Saccharomyces cerevisiae S288C: one gene and its partner. Changing the gene in region 2 together with the main gene of any one other region gives a genetic interaction. Each region holds a gene or a part of one and is shown on either strand. Other genes may lie near its edges.

Region 1 (3,544 bases), 550 kb from region 2:
TCAAAATAGGACCTAATTTATTATCAAATTCTGCGGATATTATATAGCTGACATTCGGCCTTTCAAAAGGAAAGGATTCATTTTCTATCGACCTGTTGCTGATAGAGTTATTTAGTTCTCTTCGCAACATCCGGTAGCCAAAAATGTTTGCGTACCAAAGACTCTAACAGTGGGCGGTACTATGCTTGATCTTGATTTTATAGAGCTTGCACTTTTATAGAAGAACCATTGCTACCTAGACAGTTTTTTTTGTTTACATTCGAATCATTTTTTTTTTTGCATTTAGTTAAATCCGAAGTCCTGACTAGATAATTTACTGTCAGAGAATAGTAGCATCTATGCAAGAAACTGGTATACAATAGTCGAGAGGTTGTTGTAAAAAACACAAAATACTAACACAAAGCCTGGCTGTTGAGATTGTGCGACATTCTTGATCAGTAAATGGTATTACAGACTGTCTATCAATGTTACATACTTGCTTATTACACGATTTATTGTATTTAAAGTGCAGAAAGAGTCTCAAAGATGTAAAAAACTGCAGCGTTTGCTGGTACTGCCCTAAAAAGGGTTATACCCAGTCCTCGATAAAAACCCTTTAGTCCAAATTTGCCAAATATCTTCTTCACCGCATTGGTGAGGCTTATATGTTCAGTTTGCATTACTGATTTCACAGTATCCGCAGGAAAAATACTGGCGTTGAATGCCAATCCAGCGCTCCCTCCACTAATAAGTAGTTCCCATATCTTACTTTCATCTCTTTTTGGGTCATCAAGGGAGTGCCTATCTTTCAACGACTTCTTAACTATTTCGTAGGTTGCAAACCAGGCAACACCACCGAAGCTTTCTCGAATAAAAGTGCCCGATTGCCCTTGCCACAATCCTGCCAATCCTCTCTCAGTTATAATTGCTTTTATTGTAGGCAACACCTTTGTATGTTTCGTTTTAGCTGATGCAACTTGTAAGTTCGCAACCTGCAACTTACACTTCACCAGCTCCACGGGTGTCAAAACTAAACTAGCACATGAACCCGCTACTCCACCAGAGATCAGGATTTGCCCCAACGGGGAAACGTTTGTATGTTTTTCTAAAAATTTAGAACATTGGTTATAAGACACAAATAATGTCGCGTTCTCCAGACATGCTCCAACTAAAGGTGAAGCAATGCCTTGAAAAAACCCTCGTGCTATTCCTTCATTTTGGTAAGTAAATTTTATACAAGACCATGTTGTTGGGAACACGTTGGATGCTTGTGTTTGCAACCTGACTTTCACAGTATCGAAAGGAAACTCGATCACCTTACCACAGGCGCCTGCAATGGAACCGTTTATTATATCGAGTATAGCGCCTTCTATTAATCCTTTCTTTTTACTGTCCTCCATTATACGTTGACCTTCCAGAATTTGAGTTCCCTATAGGTTAAAGAAAAGTTTCTACGACAAAGCATCTACGCTTTAACAATTAACTATACCCGTGCTTCGATAATTTCACACTTTTCTGAATCTATCGACGCCAGGAGCAGAGAACTTATCATTGGCGATTCTTGACGCTGCGGCCACAGCGGCCACAGCGGAAAACGTATATGTCACATTTTTCGAGCTCAAGGTGAGTCACGATGCAGAACTGGAACGTACTAGGACTAAGTTGCAACGATGAAACTACAATGCTACGCTTTCTTCGTGCTAAGTACTCATTGTATCCATTAATATGGTCCACAAAAAGGGTAGGCTGCTGTTGTGCTTCATTAAGACTGGTCAAAAACACGGATCCAGCAGCAACAGCACCTGCATGGATGGAATAGGATTGGTGCTAAATCACTTGGAATTAAACACAAGGATTTTGGTCGGCAATATTATATAAATATAGTCAGATGAGTGCTTCATTTTTGTTGATAAGTATTAATGAAGATTAAGTGTGGATAATACTGTCTTTGATACTATACATTTAATGTGACGAATTGTATGACTCGTATACATAACTACCAAAGCGTAGATCTTTAACTTATTTTCAGCACTGTCCGAAATGCTCAGTTAGCAGTTTAGTACATTCACGTTAAAACGTGTATGTTCGAATAAAAATCAACTCACTCATCGACTGATATTCATACTACTGGTATATTGTCATACGGTGTAAGAAGATGACATAAAATCGAAAAACAATGGTAAAGTATAATGGCAACTGAAATGCAAGGATTTGATAACGTCATAAAATGATGAAAAATATAAAATGGAGGGAGAAGTAACAGGTACGTAGAAATATTGGTTCCCTTTATGGATCCCTATATCATCGTGCAGAACTTCTCGTATATTCGATATACCTAAATTATAGCCCTTAACAATAATGAAATCCTAACGATTATCCCGAAAATTCACCTATTTCTCAGTATATGAAATGTACATTAACGTAAACACTCATCTTGCTACCATCATTATTTATATTGACATTAATGATCACTTGCTGCAACATTTTTTTATTTTTTCAAATCATATGAAACAAGTATTAATAAAAACACCGTTAACCCAACAATTAAAATCCGTGATAGTTTAATGGTCAGAATGGGCGCTTGTCGCGTGCCAGATCGGGGTTCAATTCCCCGTCGCGGAGATTTTTTTGCTGATTTGATGTGTTCTCGAACTTTGTGATGCCGAAAAAATCAAGGTAATTCCGCCATAGCTACTATATTAGCTCTAAAAAACATCTAAGAATAAAATGGTATTTCAATCATATGTACATATCTAAGTAAAGTTTTTTTTTTTTTAGAAACTTTCTTTATTCATATTTTGAATCAATTCAATTATTTCGGAAAGATCCTCTACTGAAACGTCTACTAGTTCTTTATGTTCGAGCAGTAAATGTCCATTCACATGATTCTTGAGTAATACCGTGAAACATCCAGCAGATCTACCGGATTTCATGTCGTCAAATGAATCTCCTACCATGATCATTTCCAAGGGCCTTATATTTAGCTTCGAGGCGATGTGTAATAATGGGTCTGGTTGCGGTTTTGTAGGCCTAAACTCCCTTGTCACAATATAGTCAAACCTCGAAAGCTCGGATGGAATAAATCTTTTAACAAAAGTCTCTACCGGGGCTCCGACATTTCTAGTACATATGTTCTTGCTAATACCATTTTTCGTCAAATACCTCATTATGTCAACCAGACCAGGCTGCGGTTGCATCTCCTTCATGGCTTTTGCCTCAACTAATTCTATTCTATCATGCGCTTCTTTTTTTTCTTTTTCTGTGGGCAATGTATCAATGAAATGAAGGATATCAATCGATTTGTCCTCCAATCCTATGGCGTTTCTCATTGCTGGAAACATCCAAGGCTGGGGTAGGCATAATGTGCCATCCATATCAAATACAACCGCTTTGATGTGTTTTAATCCCTGTAGTCCTTGTAGCTTTGTCATTATTCTGTGATACACTTTCAGTGACTATTGAACCGTATATATTGCCCGACTATCCTAATGATTGTGTTAGCGGCACCTGGCGATTGAGTCGAACACCCTGATATTTCGTTATAAGATATATATGACTTTTCTGG
Region 2 (6,267 bases):
CACATCGTACACATTTTAAGGACACTTATTTCACTTATTGTCCACAGTAAAATCGTTCAGGCCATAATTAAATGCGAACTTAAGAGAACCTAAAAGTACCTCCCAACTTTTATAGTGGAGCTTCCGCTCTTTGGTCAGAAAAAAATCGAGTTCTGAACACTTGGCTTTATATTACAAATTTCTCCCTTCCAAGAAAGACAAGGGGTGCTTATCGCGACATGTCTCACAATAAACTTTATTATATTTATACTTTATTTATTAATAAGAGTTTCAAATAGGATTCTTGGAGAATTTTCAAAGCGTTTTTGCGTATAAGAAACTTTTCGGTTTGGCTCTTATCAGTTTACTGCCGATCTTTCTTCCTCACTGCTTGACCTGCCACTACGGAAGATCTTACCGACAATGATGTGAGCGGCGAGAACAAGGGAAATCTCGTAAGAATAGGAAACAACCTAACCTCATTTACTAAGAGAACCCGCAGGAAAAGATATCTTTTTGAGGCACAATTTTATGACCGCGTGTTTTCGAATTTTGACAGGGATCATGCAGGCAGAGATTTTCATGTCATTTGACAGCAAGTAACCCACAATCTACAGTCACACCCTTTTTGGCTTTTTTGAGGCGGGACTTTTTTTTTTAAGACATAATTCTTCAGCAGATTGAAATTCTGGTAACCTAATTGAGAAATCCCACGCATAATTGAGTTTTAACTTTCGAATTTTTCAGCAAGATAAATTAATGTCTCGCCCGGGCCATAGACAAAAGAAGAAAATCTATAAACATTCCGTGGATCGCCATGTGATATTTCTATTTAATATAGGCACATGGCTATGGCGAAACCTTAATGTGATACTTATGGTACATATATGTAACATGCTATAGTTACAGTAAGGATTGGCAACTTAATTCGTTTCCTTCGATTTTATACTCTTCGAACGTATTTGCAGTCATTGGCAGTAGAACATCATTTAGCACATCCAACGACTACCGTCGTTGTGCACGTGACACTCACCCCAATTGGACACTGACTTGAACTAAAATAACAGCGTGTCATATAGATAAGGAAGATAAATATATTGGAACTGGTAGTATCACATTTCCATCATGAAAAACCCAGTGTAGCCATATCGAAAATATCAGAAACGAGTGGTAACACGGAACCTATATATATTACATAGGCTGCAATGAGTATATTGATTCATGATATCGTAGCTGCTTGAACTATTTTTCAAGGCTTCAAAAAATATCATGGTATTATTAGCATGCAACTTGTGAAAAAATAAATATGCATTACAGTACAAGGATCTGAGTGTTAGATTTATAGTCGGGCCTAGTTGCACTCTTAATAATACGGTATACATAATAATGGATTGCCATCCGACAACTATAGCCAGTCACGCATTTATTGAAGCTTCCATAAAACATTCATTAGAAATTAAAGGGTACAAAAGTAAAAACATTATGTATAATAGAGAATTAGTTTCGTCAATTTTTTTTTTTGCTTTTTTACCAATTTACCGAAAACTAGAAGATCAGCTGGAAAAGAACCTCTTGTAAATTGGTCTATTGTCATGATCTATTGCATCAGCATCGTAATCTGCGGTTCTTCTCTCCGGTGGCACCCATGAGGCCGATTTCCATGCTGGCACACCTTCCAGCCACATAGTATTCACCTCCTCCAGTGTCAGGCCTTTTGTTTCTGGGACAAAGAAAAAGACATAAAAGTATGCAAAAACCAGACAGCCTAAGAATACGTAACCGTAGTAAAAGTTGATTGCCCCGGTAATGAATGGGGTAAAGAAACTAATCAGGAAACCCCACATCCAGTTTGCAGCTGTTGCGATTGCCATTCCTCTTGATTTGACCCTAAGAGGAAACGTCTCTGAGACAATAACGTAACAGCCGCCTGCCCAAGTGGTGGCGAACGAAAAAATGAAGAACATAGTAAACACAATCATACAGTTACCGGCGCCCTGAGAAGTAATGTCTTGGTGACTGCTTCCTTGAGGCCACAACTTTGTCACACCGACGGAGGCAAACACAGCAAAGCAGCATAGCATAGAAGCAGCACCCCACAATAGACACGTACGGCGTCCAAACCTCTCAATGGTGTATACCGCTATGAATGAAGAGAAAAAATTAACCACACCGATAATGATCGAAGTCTGAAAGGAGTCCTTTAGACCGACAGATTTGAAGATGGTGGTACCGTAGTAAAAGAAGTAGTTGTCACCGGTTAATTGCTGCAGCGATTGGATCATCACTCCCATGAGAACACGCTGAAAGACCTTTGTTTTAGTGGAGAGTAGTTCAGACCATGATGCGTTACCTGCCAGCTTTTCAAGTTCAATTCCTGCCTTTATAGTGTCATATTCAACTAGCAAGGCTGGATCGTCAACTGAGACTTTGTTGGATTTCGATAGTGAACGTTTCGCTTCCTCATCTTTACCAACCTCAATCAGGTAACGTGGTGATTCTGGTACAAACATCATTCCACTAACCATGAATGTAGCCCAGGCAAAGCAAAGACCAAGGCCGACTCTCCATTGAGTGGCGTTGTGATAGTTCTTGGTACCGTAATTGGTACAGTATCCTAGAAAAATACCCATCGTACCCATCAGCTGGTACAATTGGACCAGAGTTCCTCTGATATGTTTGGGAGCAACTTCAGATATCAACATTGGGGAAAGGACAGCAATGCCTCCCACTCCTAGGCCAGAAATAATTCTTCCAATGAAGTATTGGTACCACTTGTTTATGGAAGTTATTTGGATTAGGATGCCTACAACGTAAATGGCAGTAACTGTAATCAATCCAATACGACGACCATATATATCACCGACTTTTGACAAGACAATTCCGCCTATGGCGCAGCCAATGTTGAATATTGAGACGATCAAACCCATTCTTACTTTCGATAAGTAGTAGGTTCCCTTGTCATTTTTTTGACCGAACCTTCTGATGAAATCAGAAAGGTTAACAAAACCAGAAATGGTACCGGTATCCCAACCAAAGATGAAGCCGCCAAATGCAATCATCAAACACAGGATTGCGACGGTGGTATACGCAGAGAGGGGTTTTTGAGGTAAGTCAATAGGTGGCTCATTGGCATCTAGGTTAAGGGAATTTTTAGAGTCACCGTGTTCAGTCTTAACAGAGGGAGCGCCTACTGCTGAGTTAGAGTTAGACATGGTAGTAGATAACTCATTTGCGGATGTATTATTAACACCTGACATGATATTGAGTAATAACAAAAGCGTTTAGAACTAAATTGTGCAATGATTATTTTTTTCAACTCATACCAAAAAAAGAAGAAGAAAAAGATAGGAACAAGTGTGCTCTTCTCTAGTTACACAACTGTGACATTATATACCTTTAATTAGCGAAAAAGAGGAACTGAGAAAGATGAGCCTAGACCTTAAGAGCTAAGTAGTATACGGTGTGTCGAACTGCTACTGATACTTTGAACGAAGGTGTCCGAGTGTATGCATTGTTCGTGTGGTCAGCATTTATTGTGGAGGAGGCGGTTTCATCTACAATTTCCGACGCCTGATTTTCCACGGATATAATTTATTTTTTGACACCTGGAGTTTACATTTCACAAAATTTCTTTCTTTTTTAGTTTTGCACTGATTTCCCCTGAAATAAAGAAAAAAAAGAAAAAGAAGGTTTTGTGAAGTGCCAAGGGATGCACGAGAAAAGCACTTATAACTCGCACGGAGAAATGATTATGTAATTTTCGCGGAGAAATGATTATGTAATTCCGCGGAGAAATGGTTATGTAATTTTTGTGGGGAACTGAACAAGGTCAGTTTACGCTTCGTACTTTGTCGTGGGACTACGTATACGCAAGATTGCGGAGGCAGTGCAATAATGGGGTCTGCTTGCAGATGGTATGATCTGCTATAACGGGCCAAGGGCCAGGCACGCTCTTGCAGAACATACCATGTTATATCATGTAGGTTGTGCAAACATTACCTAAAACTGAAAGCTTCGTTTACATACAGCACTCCTTCCAGATCCTAAATTTACTTTGTTCTTTTCTTATTTTCGATCATTCGTAAGACGTCCATAGGCACGTAAAAGACATATATAAGTAAGAAAGACTTCTTCACTCGAGGAATTAGCTGTACTAGAATATATGTTCCATTCACCAGTCCAAACACACAAACAAAAGTGAAAGTTTTTTCATAAAGAAAAGAAAGCAACGTACAATGACTATTTCTTCTGCACATCCAGAAACAGAACCCAAGTGGTGGAAAGAGGCCACAATCTATCAAATTTATCCCGCAAGTTTCAAAGACTCCAACAACGATGGGTGGGGTGATATGAAGGGTATTGCCTCCAAGTTGGAGTATATCAAAGAGCTTGGTGCCGATGCCATTTGGATCTCACCATTCTACGACTCGCCACAAGATGATATGGGTTACGATATTGCCAACTACGAAAAGGTCTGGCCAACCTACGGTACGAACGAGGACTGCTTTGCCTTGATCGAAAAGACACATAAGCTTGGTATGAAATTTATCACCGACTTAGTCATCAACCATTGCTCGAGCGAACATGAATGGTTCAAAGAGAGCAGATCCTCAAAAACCAATCCAAAACGTGACTGGTTCTTCTGGAGACCTCCTAAGGGTTATGACGCCGAAGGCAAGCCAATTCCTCCAAACAATTGGAGGTCTTACTTCGGTGGTTCTGCATGGACGTTCGATGAAAAGACACAAGAGTTTTACTTGCGTTTGTTTTGCTCCACCCAACCTGATTTGAATTGGGAGAATGAGGACTGTAGAAAGGCAATCTACGAAAGTGCCGTTGGATACTGGTTAGACCATGGTGTAGACGGCTTTAGAATTGATGTGGGAAGCTTGTACTCCAAGGTTGCTGGTCTACCAGACGCTCCTGTGATTGACGAAAACTCAAAGTGGCAACCCAGTGATCCTTTCACAATGAACGGACCACGTATCCATGAGTTTCATCAAGAAATGAACAAGTTCATCAGAAACAGAGTGAAGGATGGCAGAGAAATTATGACAGTTGGTGAAATGCAACATGCTACTGATGAAACCAAGAGGTTGTATACAAGTGCATCAAGACACGAACTTAGTGAGTTATTCAACTTTTCCCACACTGATGTCGGGACTTCGCCCAAGTTCCGTCAAAATTTGATCCCATATGAACTAAAGGATTGGAAGGTTGCCCTTGCTGAACTTTTCAGATACGTTAACGGAACTGATTGTTGGTCAACAATTTATCTGGAAAATCACGACCAACCTCGTTCAATTACCAGATTTGGTGACGATTCTCCTAAGAACCGTGTTATTTCTGGTAAGTTGTTGTCTGTGTTGTTGGTGTCACTGAGCGGTACTCTATATGTGTACCAAGGACAGGAACTGGGTGAAATCAATTTCAAGAACTGGCCTATCGAAAAATACGAGGATGTCGAAGTTAGAAATAACTATGATGCGATCAAGGAAGAGCATGGAGAAAACTCGAAGGAGATGAAGAGGTTTTTGGAAGCAATTGCCCTTATTTCCAGAGACCATGCTAGAACACCTATGCAATGGTCTCGTGAGGAGCCAAATGCTGGTTTTTCTGGTCCTAATGCTAAACCATGGTTTTACTTGAACGAGTCTTTCAGGGAAGGAATTAACGCTGAAGACGAATCCAAGGATCCCAACTCGGTTTTGAACTTCTGGAAGGAGGCCTTGAGATTTAGAAAGGCACACAAGGATATTACTGTATATGGATATGATTTTGAGTTTATTGATTTGGACAATAAGAAACTGTTCAGCTTCACAAAGAAATACGACAACAAAACATTGTTTGCTGCTTTGAACTTCAGCTCTGATTCGATTGACTTCACGATTCCAAACAATAGCTCGTCGTTTAAGTTGGAATTCGGAAACTACCCAAGAAGCGAAGTTGATGCGTCTTCCAGAACATTGAAGCCATGGGAGGGCAGAATTTACATATCTGAATGATTGATGATTGTGACGACAAGATTTTTATACATATACATATACTTATTTTTATCTATGTTACATACCGCACTTTAAATAGTAACGACATATATCTGGTAGTGCGGTATGAGTTATGTAATACACTAAAGTATAGTTTTGTGTAGCATTTTCCATATGTCCTTGCATTGGTATTGTATTATAATAATGCTGAGAGAAGGGTTACTCTATAGCTCATTTGGCCAGATAATACGGCGAGTTATGTGCATATAAGAACAAGTACTAGTGAAATTATATATTATTGTTT

The links. A genetic interaction does not mean that the proteins touch.
Region 1: mutations in HXT11 (region 2) and ORT1 together harm fitness less than expected from each alone (positive genetic interaction), as found in Saccharomyces cerevisiae (one large-scale study listed by BioGRID).

Annotation. Positions count from the first base shown.
Region 1 is NC_001147.6:569,429-572,972, forward strand, and holds ORT1 (Ort1p), read right to left. Parts: upstream 1,380-3,544; coding exon 501-1,379; downstream 1-500. Other genes in the region: AFI1 (Afi1p), read right to left, coding at 1-130; YOR131C (putative haloacid dehalogenase-like hydrolase), read right to left, coding at 2,754-3,410. UniProt on the Saccharomyces cerevisiae protein: Required for arginine biosynthesis. Transports ornithine synthesized from glutamate in the mitochondrial matrix to the cytosol, where it is converted to arginine.
Region 2 is NC_001147.6:22,242-28,508, reverse strand, and holds HXT11 (hexose transporter HXT11), read right to left. Parts: upstream 3,237-6,267; coding exon 1,533-3,236; downstream 1-1,532. Other genes in the region: YOL155W-A (uncharacterized protein), read right to left, coding at 1,291-1,425; oligo-1,6-glucosidase IMA2, read left to right, coding at 4,215-5,984. UniProt on the Saccharomyces cerevisiae protein: Probable glucose transporter.